Linked DNA regions of Rattus norvegicus. The protein of the gene in region 3 purifies or fractionates together with the protein of the main gene of each other region. This does not show direct contact. Links are inferred from orthologs where the notes say so. Each region holds a gene or a part of one and is shown on either strand. Other genes may lie near its edges.

Region 1 (5,122 bases), on a different chromosome or scaffold from region 3:
GAGTGGCCCAGAAGACCACACCAGGGACCCTGTATTCTCCTGGCAGAGCTAAGTGAGATTAAAAAATACACAACATGTAGGCTGCTGCTATTAGCTTTCTAAAAGCTGGACAACATCCTTTCTATGCCAGTATGTCAAAACAAAGGCCAGCTGGTCATCAATATATTCTAATTAACAACCAAGAAACTGAAGTCATCGTCATTATAATAAAATTCCCCAAAGCAACCAACCCCAAAGATCACGACTCTAAGGTGATTAAAAGTTACAGGGAACAGAAGGAAAAGATCAGGATGAAAGAGAACACTATGGGAACCACACAGCATGTGAAGGATGTAATGCCTGACTTTCACAGAGCTACACTTAGGAGTCAGACCATCAGTTATATTACAAGGGAACCAATACCAACATCTCTCCCGTGGAGCACAGTGATTGATAAGCACATCATTTTTATGGATATGTTTAGGATGGAAAGGGACGGGAGAAGCGAGAGGAGGCAGGAAGGTGAAGGTATTATATACAAAGAGAAATGACAGAGACTGCCTCCTCCTTTAGCTCTTTGCGCTTTCTTTTTCTTTGTTTTCCGCATCCTCTGGATACGCATGCCACGTCAGTCTCTCTTCATAAAATGCTATCACAATTTGTGGACATTTCACATTAGCTTCTTTTGCAAGGACCAGGTCAGCTTCATCTGTGTCTTTCCTGGAAAGAAAGGGTACAAGACTTAGAAGGAGACATGAGACTGAGACAGTCTGTCAGTGTCAATGCCTGAGGTTAGCTGGTTTGATATCGAAGTAGAAAAGGCTCTTTACAGGGCTGGAGATATAGCTCAGAGGTGGAGTCTCTGTATTTGACCTTTAGCATCAAAAAATAAACAAAAAATAAAGAGCTGAAGAAATGGCTGTTCTTGCAGAGGACCTGGGCTCAGTTCCTAGCACCTACATGGTACCACAGGACTGCCTGTAATGCCAGTTCCAGGGGATCCAACACCCTCTTCTAGCCTCTGCAGGCGCTGCACACATGGTACACACACACAACATATATATATGGAGGCAAAACACATACACGTAGAAAAAAAATTAAATAGGCAATAAATCTTAAAAGAAAAAGGAAAGGGAGGAAAGGAAAGAGAAGAAAGGAAAAGGCCAGTCAGATATGTGAGTACATGCCTATAACTCTGTAACTCCAGGCCTAGGGAGATGGGGACAGGAGAATGAGTTCAATGTCCTGCACTACATAGTAAGTTCAAGGACACCTTGAGCTACATGAGACCTTGTCAAGAAAGGAGGAAGGGAGGATGGGGAAGTATTCCACTTTCTTCTGTAAGTCACTTTCTCTAATAAAGTAATTTGTGCTTTATTTCTTTATTTAGCATTCAGTTTGATGTCTTTTGTTGAAATTAATTTCTCTTTTAGACATCATTTGGTGACCCTGATCCTCAATGATGTAGGAAGTTTTACTTAGCTCTTACCCCATAGTCATAGGCTAATGATCTCACGGTAAATGATTCAGTTCTATACAGAATTTAGGTAGTAGTAATACTTTTTTTTAATCCAAATATGATTACTATAACACAACAATACCAAAGTTTGAGAATGTCACAAATTTATTCTGAACCATAAATTCCCACTTAATACTGACACTATGGATTAAATTTAGGAATTCTCAATTTCACACTCTTTCTTCATAGCAAAAACACAACTGTGAAGCACAATTCCTCTTACCATTTCATTAAGAACATTAAGTCTCCACAGGAATCTGTCGCCCCAATGATCTTTTCTGGTTCCAGTCCTCTCTCAAAGCCCCGAGCGATATCATTGCTTTGCTATAAATAGAATAGGAGAGATTGGAGCTTGCAGAGATCAAGGAAAAACAAAACAAAACAAAACACCTGTTTTTCTGAGCTACAAATCATAGCCTTTGTTAATATCATCTGTTATCATTTGTCATCAGTTCAGAAAATCCTTGCAACTCAAGAAATCAGAGGCAGCAATGTTATGAGATATTTTTGCAATAGATGTAGTCATCTTCCCTGGTATTCCTTGTAAATGATTAAGGGGGGACCCCCCACAAGTCTTTAGCACCCCAGGAGTCTCAGGAGAATCACCTGGGTACTCCACCCCTCTAAGCTACTCAATCTCTTCAGCACTGCGAGCAGACCCTCCCTCTACTGTGACTTCTCAGACAGCAAACAAGCTCACTTTCACTCTCAACTTCAGATGCTTTCTCGACAATAGCCTTTTAGACTTTTAATTTATCTTAACAGTGGCCAACAGTTTTAATATTTCACAGTCATTTATATTGTAAAACAGAGGTTCAAAGATCACCAACACTAACTTGCATATAACCTGAGAAAGGAGCCTCTGGCCTGCTCAGACTCGCTACTCACATTAATTGGGACTGGTCTGAGACTGCAAACAACTGAACTGACCTCATGAGAGGAGCACAAGGCCTGCTTTAGTCTCTGGCTGATCCAGGTGTGATGACAACAGTCAGAACAAAAAAGTCTAATTTTATACATATTTTTTTCTAAAATTTACAAGAGATAATACAAGCTCACTCATCACAAAGAAAACTTAAGATTTACCATAGGAACCAAATCCCAACCCTCTCTGATCATGACTTGCCTTTGAGCTACAAAAGCAGGCCAGTTAGACAGCTCAGTGGGCAAAAAGGCTTGTAGCCAAGCCCAACAACCTGAGTTCGATCCCTAGGACTCACAGGGTGCACAGGGAGTATCAACTCCCACATATTCCCTGACCCATACCCCTCAAAACAATGAGCAAATACAAAACACACAAACAAATGATTCTGAAATAGATACACAAAAGTCTGCACGGTCCTGGTGGTCCTCAAAGATACCAGAACCCCAAAAGGAAGGAAATCGTAGCCAAGGATCAGTGGGAAGACACTGGCTCTTTAAGACACAACCTCTTTGGGGCATTTAAGGGGAATTGGTTCCCAGATGCAAACACAGCTGCTCACAGCTGGAATGCTGGCACAGTGACTAAGTCATACATCATCTCTGGCAGCTGGAAAGAGTCTGCTACATAGGGAGGGAAATAGAAAAAGAATGTTCAAGCTGCTGAAAGGAGCTGAGGCAAGGAAAACACTAAAATCATCACAGGTAGTAATCTTAAATCAGGCATAAAACCGACTAAGAAATTTCTTCTGCAGTGGTCTAAAAAAAGGCAATCTCCCCATACCTTGAAAACACACAACTACTATGATCATGCCAGCTGTCTACCTGACAGCAGCCAGTATTGCTGAGAATGCTATCAAAGGCCCCAGACAAACATTATGATGTAAAGGGTGTCTGGAGGTTGTTTTCAAGGTCAGCAGCTCCAGAACCTAGACACGAAGCCCTCTGAAGTGGCCGGGGACTCAAATCAAAGCCAGATTACTGCCTTTAAAAGAACAAGACCTTAAGTTGAAGAAATGTTTACTATCTTTCACAATACATAGTTAAAAGTCTTTGATTATTATTTGCTACTTTAACTAGAAATGAACCAAATGACAAAAGTCAGAACACAAAGGGTTAAAAAAAGGTGATACCACCAAGCCCAAAGTTCCAACTTCAATTCCAAGACCAACCTGGTAGAAGAAGGCTACTGTCTTTTTCAAGTTGTTCTCTACCATCCACCCATGTGCAGTCCACACATGCTTAACACATGCGAAATAATAAAATGTACTAAAATATATAAATGAAATTTAAAAAGGGCACAGACAGAGTGAGACCAGCAAGGTCTACACAGTGAGTTTCAGGCCAGCCAAGGTTCATGCATTGTTTGAGACCCCATCTCATACAAACAAACAAACCCCAAAACAAAAAACAAGTCCTCAGAAAATGAAAAGTATTCTTCCCTTAAGTTCCTCATCAATACAGTTTATTATAGTCAGAATATGGCATAGGTTGCAGCCGGTGCTGGCCCTGGCCTTTAATCCCAGTGCTCAAAAGGCAGATGCAAGAGAATCTCTGTGAATCAGACATCAGCCAGGTCTACATAGCCAGCTCCAGGGCAGCCATTACTACACAGAGACCTTGTCTTAGTAAACAAACAAACAAACAAACAAACAAAGAAGTTGTAAAATTAAAATAACAAGAGAAAGAGGTCAGGGACAGCCCCCATAGAGGCCAAGAATTACACACAACCTTTATAAAACCCCAATGCTTCAGTTTACCCACAGAAACTCTCATTTAACTGATGTGAGGTTCACCTTGGTTACTAGAGGCATAGTCACAGTTTTGAGAAAAGTGTACAAAAATGGGCATCTAACTTTAGCATAGATAAACAGGGATGCTATATGAACTAATACTTGTATTTTATTAAATATTAAGCACATAGGTTTCATAACCCTGAAATAAATGGCAAGAGGGAAAGCTGGAGATGTAGAATGTTTGTGTAACATATACATTTGGCAAAGATGAGACAGAAAAAAAAGGGACAATGTGGTGTTTATACACCCTCAATCTAAAAATCAGGTAAAAGCAACTGAATCAAACCAAACTTCATAATTACTTTCCAAACTAAAGAATAAACACACAAAAGATGAAAATTATTTTCTTTTTAGGTTATACAGCTAGAATAAAATTAGTGAAAGTAGCCAGGTATGGTGCTATTTAGGCACATGCCTAAAATCCCACCGTTCAGGAGCCGATGGCAGAAGTGGAAGTTCCAGGCTAGCCAGAAATACATTGTGAGTTCAGGGTCAGACAAGTCGGTTATAAAGCATGACCTCTGGCTCCAAACAACAGAGAGGCTGGGCTCCTTAGTTCAGTTGGCAGAGTTCTCTTTCTAATATGCAACAAGTCCTGAGTTCAATCCCTAGCACAGCATAAAACAATACCACAGGCCTACCATCTCAGTACTTGGGAGGTTGAGGTAGGAGTATAAGAAGTTCAAAGTAATCCTCAGCCATACTCGAAATGTGAGGCCAGACTTAAGACACAGGACACTGTCTCAAATATCAACAACAGAAACAACAACAAAAGAAAAAACAAACAAAAAGCTAAGAGAAAAGATAAATGTTATGGATGTAAAGACAGACAGACTCCTGAGGTTCATTAGCCAGCAAACCTTCATGAATCAATGAACTCAAGAAAGACATCTGACTTTGATCTCTG
Region 2 (5,814 bases), on a different chromosome or scaffold from region 3:
TTTATGATTTATGGTACAAGTGCCACTCTTCTTTTTTTTTTTCCCCCTTTCTTTTTTTCAGAGCTGGGGACCGAACCCAGGGCCTTGGGCTTGCTAGGCAAGCGCTCTACCTACCACTGAGCTAAATCCCCAACCCCCTGCCACTCTTATTTCTAAACTGGTTTTAGTTGGCTCATTATTTGGCTGTACATGAAACAAATGCTTTCCAGATGCAAAATCTCAATGAAAAACAGGAATTTGTGCAACACACACACACACACACACACACACACACACACACACATCTAGCATGAGTAATAATTTGGTTTTTGTGTCTTTTTGGAGTCTAGATGGGGGTGCAGAATTGGTTGCTGCAGATTAAATCCAGAGCCTTGCACACACACAACACACCATGCTGCTTTTCTGTGCCAGGATCTCAACTCTGTAGCCTGGGTTGGTCTCAAGCATGTGACTATCTTTCTTCTGCAACCACCTCTATTCAGTGTTTGTAGCAGGGAGACAGGGACAGAGGACAACTTACATACGTCAATTCCCTCCAGTCACTATGTCAGTCTTGGGACCAAACAGGTTGTCAGACTTGGTGGGAAGTGCCTTTATTCATCAAGTCATCTCAAAGGTCTAGCCTTTTTTTTTTTTTTTTTTTTTTTTTAAATTCTTCAGCCCAGGTCTCACTCTCTGGTCCAGGGTAGCATGGATTTTATTATACCTTATATAAACTAGACTGTCTTCAAACTCCAGGCAATAGCCTCTACTGTCTCTCCTTCAGTGACATATTATAGACACATGCCACATACCCACCTGTGAAATTATACACAAAACTTTATTTTACACCACTTTACACAAAAGACATTAAGAAGGCCAGAGTACAGCTCAGTGGCATAGCACATGGGTTTTGGGGTCCAATCCAGTGTACTACCACCACAGAAAAAAAAAACCAAAAACAAAAAACCCCCAAACCAGCACAACACACTTTCCCAAATTTGGGCTAGGAGTGTAGCTCATCAGCAGAAAGCTTGCCAAACTGGAATGCAGCTCAGTGTTTGCCTAACATGTAAGAGGCCCTGAATTCCACGCCAACACTGCAAAAAGTAAAAACACATACACATTAAAAATGAAACTGTCGGGGCTGGAGAAATGGCTCAGCGGCTAAGAGCACTGACTACCCTTCCAGAGGTCCTGAGTTCAAATCCCAGCAACCACATGGTGGCTCACAACCATCTGTAATGAGATCTGATGCCCTTTTCTGGTGTGTCTGAGGACATAGACAGTGTAATTAATATGTAACAAATAAATCTTAAAAAAATTGAAACTGTCAGCTAGGTATGATGGCGCACACCTATCTCAGTTCAGGGGCTGTAGAGAGAGATGGCTCAGTGGTTAAGAGCACTGACTGCGGGGCTGGGGATTTAGCTCAGTGGTAGAGCGCTTACCTAGGAAGTGCAAGGCCCTGGGTTTGGTCCCCAGATCCGGAAAAAAAGCAAAAAAAAAAAAAAAAAAAAAAAAAAAGCACTGACTGCTCTTTCAGAGGTCCTGAATTCAAATCCCAGCAACCACATGGTGGCTCACAACCATCTGTTATGAGATCTGATGCCCTCTTCAGCTACAGTGTACTTATATATAATGAATTTAAAAAAAAAAAAAAGATGATAAAATCCAAACATACCAACTTCTAGGTCCAGTCCTCAAAGTTGGAAAATGGGGGTATCAGGCTGATTCAACAGGTAAAGGTCCCACAACCCTAATGACCTGAGTTCAATCACTAGAACAAGTGTTACAGAAGAGAATGACCCCCACCCCCAAAGTTGTTCCTGATCTCCATAAGTATGTCATGGAACACCCGCCCCCACTTTTCAAAACTAAGGGAAGCTGAAGAGATGGCTCAGCAATTAAGAGTTCTCCCAGAGGTCCTGAGTTCAATTCCCAGCAACCATATAGAGGCTCACAACCATCTGTAATGAGATCTGATGCTCTCTGCTGGTGTGTCTGAAGACAGGGACAGTGTACTCATATACATAAAATAAAAAAAAAATAAAAAAAAGTGACTAGATAGAAAATTAGAAATGCTTTCACTGCCCAAATCTTTTAAGGAACATATGACTCTTTTCCCTAGGCCTTGAACTTCTGCTGCTCCTGCCTCTACCCCCCAAATGCTGGCTGTACTCACAGATAACTGGGCTCTTTTCAACACACCACCTCCCATATATGCCTAGAGAGCATCCAAGGAAGAGCACAGGCACCAATATCCTGATTATAGTCATACATCTATCAGAAAACCTTAGATCTTTTGATTAACACAAAACTGGAGAGGACACTATATTCTAGTGTAACTAGTATATAATATATATAACTAGTATATAATTTTTAAGACTTTTTATGGCACTGAAACATAACTCAGTGGTAGACAACTTGCATGTGTGCAAGGTCCTCAGTACCAAATACCGAAATGAGTTCCATATTTCTTTCTTTCTTTTTTTTTTTTTTTTTTTTGGTTCTTTTTTTTTCGGAGCTGGGGACCGAACCCAGGGCCTTGCGCTTCCTAGGTAAGCGCTCTACCACTGAGCTAAATCCCCAGCCCCGAGTTCCATATTTCATATACTGTGTTTCAGTATAAAACTATTTTCGATGCCTGTGGGCATGCAGGACCTGCTTTCTTTGGTCCCTGCCATACCCCACTTGTCAATCAGAGGACAATTTTGTGAAGTCAACTCTTTCTTTCCACCTTTACCTGGATCCTAAGAGTTAAATTGAGGCTTACACAGCAAGAACCTTTTTTATCTGATGAGTCTTGCCTCATACAGCCTCCCTACTCACAATAAAGACCTATTAAAGGCAGAAAGTGGCCTTTTCACCCTTGACTCCTCTGGTAGCCAAGGAAGGCCTTAAATTTCCGATCCACCGGTTTCCAGCTCCCAAGTGCTAAGATTACAGGTACAGGCCATCACACCCAGCCTAATTTATGGGATACTGGGGATTGAATCCAGGGGTTTGCGGCAGGGTAGGCAAACATTCTACCAACTAAGCTACACACCCCCAAGTACCCCTTTTTTCTTCCACATTTGACATGGACACGTTAGACTTCTACCCTACTTACCCCAGCAACTCCACTTTTAGACAAGGTCAAGAAAATGTCTGACCCTTCACCCCAAGACAGGTTCAACAAATCTCTTCCCCGTTAGCACACCCGGAGCAGCCCACGTCCAATTTTACTGGAAATTACTTTTTCATAACTCTGGCAAGAGAAATTTCTCTGATAGTGGCAATTGAACCCAATATCCTCAGGTTTCTTTTTCTTTCCTCCAAGTGCTAAGGGGATTGCCCGCGATTGCCACCGTGTCCACTCTCTCAGGTTACACTTCTAAACCTTTAGTGTACGAAGTCGTGATCCTTGCCACGCACACCCAAAGTACCAAGCCTGTCTCCTTATGGACGTCCCAAAGTTTTCTTCCTTCTCCCGCCCAACTCCAGAGTTGCTGAGCCGGGTCAAACGCTCCTCGTCTAGTTCTTGAAAAGCTAACCCTCCGATGGCTCCGCTCCTCAGGAACCACTCCGCGCCCGGACTCTGGATTCACTGCCCCGCCCTCTCCACGCTCCCGCAGACCGCGAGCTCTGCGCGGGAAACCGACCGGTCGGGCGCTGGGCCGCGTCCCCAGCTCCTGTCTCCACTCTTCCGTTAGCGGCCCGCGCTCGCCCGCGGCCTCCCGCCGTCGCTCCCCCTCCCGCTTCCAGCCCGCCTCTTCACCTCGTAGCAGCGCCCGACAGTCCGAGAGGAATCGGTGTCGCGCTTCTTGCGCGTTGCGTCAGGCGGTCCCAGGGAGTAGCACCCAGAGGAGCAAACAGCCGTGTGGCCTCAAGTCGGTCGTCCAGATGAAGCGGCGTACCGCAGGCCCGGCCAACGGCCCTCCCCTCAGCCGAACAAAAGAGATTCTCACTCTGCGCGGCCCGCCGCCTGCACTGCGCAGACGCGACGACCCGCCGCAGGGCAACTTGGGATTCAGAGTCGGCCCGAAACTACAAATCCCAGAGTGCCGCGAATCCCGCGCCGCCCACCTCCACTTTCAGGAGTTGTAGAGTTTTCTTTGTAGTTTCTTTTTTTTAACTTTCTGGAAAGGCGAAGTCGACTGTTTTGAACACATAACTCTACAGCCTAGAAAATTACTGGGTAATGGTGGGGTTTGTTTGTTTAATAACAGGGTACGTAGCCCAGCTGGCTTCGGAAGTTGTGGCCTTTCAATTGCTTCAAACCTCAGAGTGCTGGATTTCAGGGGCATGCTAGTACTCCTTGCTCAGTCTACAAAATTAGGACACGGGGGTTTGGAAACTAACACGTTGATGTTTGGTCACTCTGCACTTAAAAGAAAAATCTTATCATATTCGTTACCTGAGATTTATCAAATCTCCACCTTCAATAATGTCCAGCAAGCTTATCTATTATTGCCACCTAGAAGAGGTTCCTACCTCACAGTTTGAATCAGTATTCCGTTCAGAAAGTTAAACCTCTAGGTAGACACCATCGCCACTTTCTTAATTTTCTTTTTTTCTCTCCCCCTCCTTTTTTCTTGTTTCACTTTAGTTGTTTTTGTTGAGTGGACAGGGTCTCAAGGAAGCACTTAAACGCCTGATCTTCCTGCTTCCACTTCCCAAATGCGGAGATTACAGACATGTGCCACCACATGCAAAACTTTCCCTTTGTTGTCCTTGCCAGTGGGCGACTTTCATGGTGATTTCTTCATCTCCATGAACAAACTTTATCAAACTAGAGAAACAGAACTAAGCAAAAGGCACGACTGTCATTCTTTAACAAGTGCACTAGTTGTGATTCAGGTAGGTTGCTGCTGCTAATTGTTGGGCTGGGAACTCCAGTAAGGACAGAAGACTCATTGTATCCGCCACACTCAGTAAAGTCCTGTGCTTATTGCTAGCATGCATACGGTCATGCTTTGACTCTCAGTATTTATTGGTAAAAATTCATTGATAGTCGGTTTAAGTGAATATATGAGATGTCCAACAGATAATAGAACTGATCAAATTTTCCAAGACCTCTTGTACTAGTACTCAGGATTAAGGCAGGAGGATTGTTGTGAGTTTAAGAGAGGCTTAGGCTATGTAAGGAGTACCAGGCCAGCCTAGGTTATAGAATGAGAGCATGTCTCAAAAAACCAAAACAAGGACAACTTTCCTGTTCAAAAAACTTAAGACAAAAGAAAAAGAGAGATTAGCTTCACAATATCATACAAAAATCAGTCAAAAGAGTCTGATTCTTCCTGAAAATACTTGGGTCAAGCCTCCAAAACCAGGCGGCAACCCATGCATTCTGGATAACTTTAATAGTGACAATACTAGGGGCTGGAGAGATGGCTCAGTGGTTAAGAGCACTGACTGCTCTTCCAGAGGTCCTGAGTTCAATTCCCAGCAACCACATGGTTACTCACAACCATCCGTAATGGGATCTGATGCCCTCTTCCGGTGTGTGTCTGAAGACAGCTATAATGTACTCATATATAATAAATAAATAAATCTTTAAAAAAAACTTAGTTTTGTTCTATCTTGTATTGGTGTTGGGCATCAAATCCAGTGCCTTGTATATGATAAGGGCACTTTATAGTCCTGGAGAGGTGGTTTAAAAGTTAAGGCTCTTGCTGCTCAGATCAAAGTTCTGTTTCCAGCACCCATGTGGTTCACAACCTCCTGTAACTCCAGTTCCAGAGAACCCAACTCCTTCAGATCTCAGCTACGCACACATACACTCAGGCACACAACTCTTTACTACTGAGCTATTCTTCAAGCTCAAGACATTATTATTGAGGTCCTATTCCA
Region 3 (5,122 bases):
GCCTTAACTAGTTATGTGCTCGTGCATGCCATACACACATCTCATCTTGTAGCCCAGGTTAGCCTAGAATTCACTCTACAGTCCAGGCTGGCTTGGAACTAACTCACCATGTAGATCAGTTAGGACTCAAACTCCCAGAATTCTCCTGGACCCCAGGTGCACGGACTACCGGCATGGACTCTATGTCTGGCCGTAATTGCTTGCTCCTGCATTTGAATTATTCTTCAGCAACCTTTGGTCTGGGATTCTTTGCTTTGATTCCTCGGCACTGTGTAACCACACCCGGCCACTTCCAAGGAGGAAGACTTCTCTCTCGTGTTCCAGAGGCCCGCTCACGCCTGGTCTCCCTCATCCCCCATCTTAATGAGGTTGGTGTTCAGCACAAAGCGCCCCCATCCATCAGCTTGGCACACATAGGCTCATCACAGTTGGATATGGACACAGCACCAACAAGGACTCAGACCTGAATTCACCTCCAAGTGCAGACTTTATGCAACAACCATCAACTTGAAATGCTATTCACTTAACTTCATGCCTGTTTTGCTCATGGGGCGGCTTCTAGACCATACAGAACTACTGACCAGCCCCGAAATTCACAGGCCACTCAGACCAGCACACTTCACTCAAACAAAGCAATATTCAGTAATTTAAGTCACCATTCAAAGGCCTTAACCATTTGAAAGCAAACAAAAGAACAAGCCCAAGACCCCAGGCTCAGTCCATGAGAGAAGACCCTCTTCTTCATTTTCTCAATTCTTTCACCCTCCTTCCCTTCCTCACCCACCCCATTGCCACTGCTAAGTCCAAGCCCACTACCCGCCAGTACTGCTAACTCACAGCACAGGGGACCCACAGCACCAGGGGACATGCTTCTATCTAATTCTAATGTGCTGTTCTCCCTCCCCAACCTCAGGGCATCTCTCAACTTGACAGACTTTCCAGGAAGTTGGCTGGGGTTAAGGAAGGTTGGATTGAAAGGCAAGCTCAAGGGGGCCTACACACGTCCTATGTAAACTAACCATTCAAGGGCGGGACCTGAGGAAGGATCCCTCCCCCGCCCCCCACAATCACGAGAGTTTGAGAAGTATCTGTGAGGCCAGGGCTGAGAAACTTAAAGGTGGAAAACAATCCAGATCTCAGGCAGGGGGTTATCCTCAAAGGTAAGAGGAAGAATGAGGTCAGAGAGGGCTCGGAATCATACAGAGAGGCAAGCTAGACATAAACAATATGCTAGCGATTGGGAGCATGGTAGCTCCCATAACTTGAGTGCTTAGTCCCTGTTGGTGAAACTGTTTGAGAAGGATGAGGGGGTGTGGCCTATTGGAGGGGGGTCCCCAGGGGTGGGTTCTGAGGGTTTTTTTTTTTGGTTCTTTTTTTTTTTTTTTCCCGGAGCTGGGGACCGAACCCAGGGCCTTGCGCTTCCTAGGTAAGCGCTCTACCACTGAGCTAAATCCCCAGCCCCGGTTCTGAGGTTTTTGAAAGCTCAGGCCACTTGCCATTGCCAGTTAGAGTGCTTTCCCTCCCTGCCTCAGGGTTGTGGAACAAGTGGTGAGCTCTCGGGCACTGTTCTAGCACTGTGCCTGCCTGTTTAACACCTTACCCCCACCAACCACCACCATGATGTTCATGGACTCTAATCCTCTAAAACTTTGAGCACCAAATTAAGCACCCTGTGGCTTGAATATGCATGGCCCACAGGAAGTGGCACTATTAGGAGGCATGGCTTTGTTGCAGGAAGTGTGTCACCGTGGGGGTGGGCTTTGGGGTCCTATTCTCAGGCTCCATTCGACTTCCTGGTGTCCCTTTACTCTTTGACCTTCCGTATCCTGCTTTCTAATCTTGCTACACTTTATCAAATCATTCCTTCTAAGAGTGAACCGTAGGACAGAGTCTAAACTTAGTTGATCTAAGACTTCTGTCAGTGCAATTAATCTGATGAATCTCTTCACCTTGGCCTCAGCTAGACTCTTTGAACAAGGGCAAAAAGCAGCCACATCCTTCACCAAAATATCAGAGCAGTCTCCAGGCACAAACTAAAATTCTTCTCTTCTGAAACAGCTAGAGCCAGGACCCCATAGTCAAATCGCGCTCAGCACCAATGTCTTTCACGATCCTACTAGGATAGTGCATTAGGACCCACCTAAAACATCCCACTGCTTCCAAATCCAAAGGCCCAGAGTCCACATTCTCCCATAGAAAAGCATGCTCAGGCCCGTCACAACAGTACCTCAGCCCCTGGTACCAACTTCTGCCTTAGTTTTACTGCTCTGAACAGACACCATGACCACGGCAACCCTTATAAAGGACAGGGGTTGGCTCACAGTTCAGAGGTTCAGTCCATTATCATCATGGAGGGAAGCACGGCAGCGTCCAGGCAGACTTGGTACAGGAGAAGGAGCTGAGAGTTCTACATCTTGACCCAAAGGCAGCCAGGAGGATTCTGTCTTCTGCAGGCAGCCAGGAGGAGAGCCTTTTCTGCACTGGGCAGAACTTGAGCATAGGACCTCAGAGCCCACCCCCACGGTGACACACTTCCTCCAAGGCCACGCCTCCTAAAGTGCTACTTCCTGTGGGCCAAGCATATTCCAACCACTTCATCCTTCCTTTTACAAGTTCCCTTGGTCACCGTGGCTTATCACAGCAACAGAAGAGTAACCGAGACACAGGCTAATAGACCAGGAAACAGGAACTGGGACCTGAGTTTCTCAAGTAAAGCCTTTGGAAGACAGAAGGGGACAAGGGCAGGACTCGTCACTTGGCTGACACTGGCAGAATGAAATAATGAAGGTCTGGGCAGTGTCTGGATTTCTGCCTCTGCCAAAACTGCTCCCGACTCAGCATCCCTAACTCTGGCATCTTCTTCCTCCTCATAACAGCAGAAATAAACCACTCGGTCTGGAGCTCAGCAGGTCAGAGCTCTACCTGCTCTCACAGAGGACCCAAGCTTGGTGGTTCCTAGTACCCAGGTTGGGAGGGAGCCTTACAGCCACCTGTCACTCAGGTCCAGGGGCTCAGGCAACCTGTTCTGGATTCCATGGGCACTGCATGCATGTGTGTGTACATATACACATAATGTTAATAAAGTAAGTATATGGCTCACCTTTACTGACATCCCATATGATAACTGTGTTATCCACAGAAGCAGAGGCCATCATATTCCCATCAGTTGCCCAGCATATATCATACACATCTTCTAAGTGGCCCCTAGAGTCCAAAGACAGAAGGAATAACATTATTACTGCAAAAAGAGAAAAGCTATCAAAAAGTTCAAAGTCACTGGGCAGTGGTGGTGCATGCCCTATGGAGGCAGAGAGAGAAGGATCTCTGAGTTCAAGGCCAGCCTAGTCTACAGAGTGAGTTCCAGGACAGCCAAGGCTACGCACAGAAACCCTGTCTCGAAAAACTGGGGGAAAAAAGTTCAAAGTCTAAAACCACACACTGGAATTAGACTGTAGGGATTTTCAGTGGAGCTGTGTCAGGCCTGGCTCTAAACATTTGTTTTCAAGGACATCTGTATTGAATGTGAATCAGAGGGCATCACGGGCCCACACTGATATTCCAAGCACTAGGAAGCCAAGGGAATAGGGTAGAGTGTTCAAGACCAGCCTGGGCTTCATAGCTAGACTAGGCTGGCTCAAAAACCAGGTCGGGGAAGACCGGATTCTTTTTCCCCAAGGGAAACTTCATAACGGAGAGAAAAATGTATTTTTATCTTGTTCTAATCCTTTATTCTCTTATAAAGTAGGCAAAGGCTTTACGTTAGGTACATAAACTATTAAGGTATTCAGACTGTGAAGTGGGACTTAATCACACTTGCTGCTAATCTGAAGTCAAGCTGTGCTCTCCGCCCCAAGGCGGGCTCCACAGAACCCCTGTGATTCCAGCTCCGAGGGATTCGCTTACCTCTTCTGACCTCTTCGGTTACTCACACACAACGCACTTCACTCACAAGCCAAACAATCATAAGTTAGAATAACCAAAATAGACCTTTAATTAGAAAACAAACTGCAGGGGCAGCCCCTCCCCCGTTACCTCAGGGTTTTTACCACAGTCCAGTTCTCCTTGTTCAGCTGAGCCTCATCTTCATCCTGAAAGGCGATCTGCTCCGGCTCCTTGCTGTCATTCATCTTCCACAGCAGGATGACGGCATCTGTGAGGTAAATCAGCACAGCATGAGCCAGGCTCTCCCGTGCCCTCCTTCACTTCTGGAGTTTTATGGTGTCCTGTATGTTTTATGTGGCTCGGTGGACGGTCTGGCCTGCGGAGTCACTCACTGCCAAGAATATGGACAGGCTGTGCACAGTGATACATGCCTGTAACCCAGCCCCTGGGAGACTGGGGTAGGTGGATCCAAAGCAAGGCTACATGGCGAGTTTGAGGTTAGCCTGGGCTACATGAGACCCCACCTCAGGAAAACACAAAAAGTTTGAACCTCTACATTAAGAAACTAGAGAAACAACTTAAAGATGGCAGATCAGGAAGAGGAAAGGCAGTGCCGGTCTGCAGATTGTGCCTGTGGGCCTCATCTTGATGCATACCCACCTCACAGTGCCCCTGTGAGGACTGAGTGTAGGAATCTGTGGACAGCACTTGTAGCTCGGCGGCTTGGACATGTAAGCCACACACTCCTTCACCGTATCAGTACGGACACATCAGACACCTCAGCCTGACACAGCAATGGTCCAGACCTAACGGTTTCTCCTGAGGTGACTACAGGCTCACTGTAACATGATCCTTTTACCATGTCCAGAAAAGAGAGCAAACGAGAGAGCAGGAAATACAGACAGGAACTACAGACGACAAAAGGAGCTCACTCAAAGCTACCTGGAATCCTAGCTATAGAAGCTCGTCAGGGAGCCTGCTAGAGATGAAATGGCTGGACAGGTCAACACTCTCCATGAGCAGACTAAAGGGAGGTTTCGGTCTGCAAGGCTGAGGGGCTTTGTAAATGGGAACTGCCCCAGGGCCACCTCATAGGAGACGGTCTACAGCCCCGGCAACACTGTTCTACTTGTGTGAATGTGTGAATGCATGCACATCATGTCTGTGTACAATGTACAATGCATGCACACAGACACTCACACCCCACATATTCTGGGCATTAGGGCACAGAACACAACTA

The links.
Region 1: the proteins of Chaf1b (region 3) and Cbx5 purify together in Homo sapiens (affinity purification with mass spectrometry; 8 studies listed by BioGRID and IntAct, with this or other methods). This does not show direct contact. The link is inferred for Rattus norvegicus from reciprocal best matches to the Homo sapiens genes CHAF1B and CBX5.
Region 2: the proteins of Chaf1b (region 3) and Cbx1 purify together in Homo sapiens (affinity purification with mass spectrometry; 4 studies listed by BioGRID and IntAct, with this or other methods). This does not show direct contact. The link is inferred for Rattus norvegicus from reciprocal best matches to the Homo sapiens genes CHAF1B and CBX1.

Annotation. Positions count from the first base shown.
Region 1 is NC_086025.1:136,211,497-136,216,618, forward strand, and holds the end of Cbx5 (chromobox protein homolog 5), read right to left. Parts: intron 1,823-5,122; coding exon 1,722-1,822; coding exon of another isoform or gene 1,718-1,721; exon of another isoform or gene 1,716-1,717; intron 700-1,715; coding exon 549-699; 3' UTR 152-548; downstream 1-151. UniProt on the Homo sapiens protein: Component of heterochromatin that recognizes and binds histone H3 tails methylated at 'Lys-9' (H3K9me), leading to epigenetic repression. In contrast, it is excluded from chromatin when 'Tyr-41' of histone H3 is phosphorylated (H3Y41ph).
Region 2 is NC_086028.1:82,264,908-82,270,721, reverse strand, and holds the start of Cbx1 (chromobox protein homolog 1), read right to left. Parts: upstream 3,961-5,814; 5' UTR 3,740-3,960; exon of another isoform or gene 1-3,739. UniProt on the Homo sapiens protein: Component of heterochromatin. Recognizes and binds histone H3 tails methylated at 'Lys-9', leading to epigenetic repression. Interaction with lamin B receptor (LBR) can contribute to the association of the heterochromatin with the inner nuclear membrane.
Region 3 is NC_086029.1:46,672,832-46,677,953, reverse strand, and holds part of Chaf1b (chromatin assembly factor 1 subunit B), read right to left. Parts: intron 4,151-5,122; coding exon 4,033-4,150; intron 3,205-4,032; coding exon 3,101-3,204; intron 1-3,100. UniProt on the Homo sapiens protein: Acts as a component of the histone chaperone complex chromatin assembly factor 1 (CAF-1), which assembles histone octamers onto DNA during replication and repair.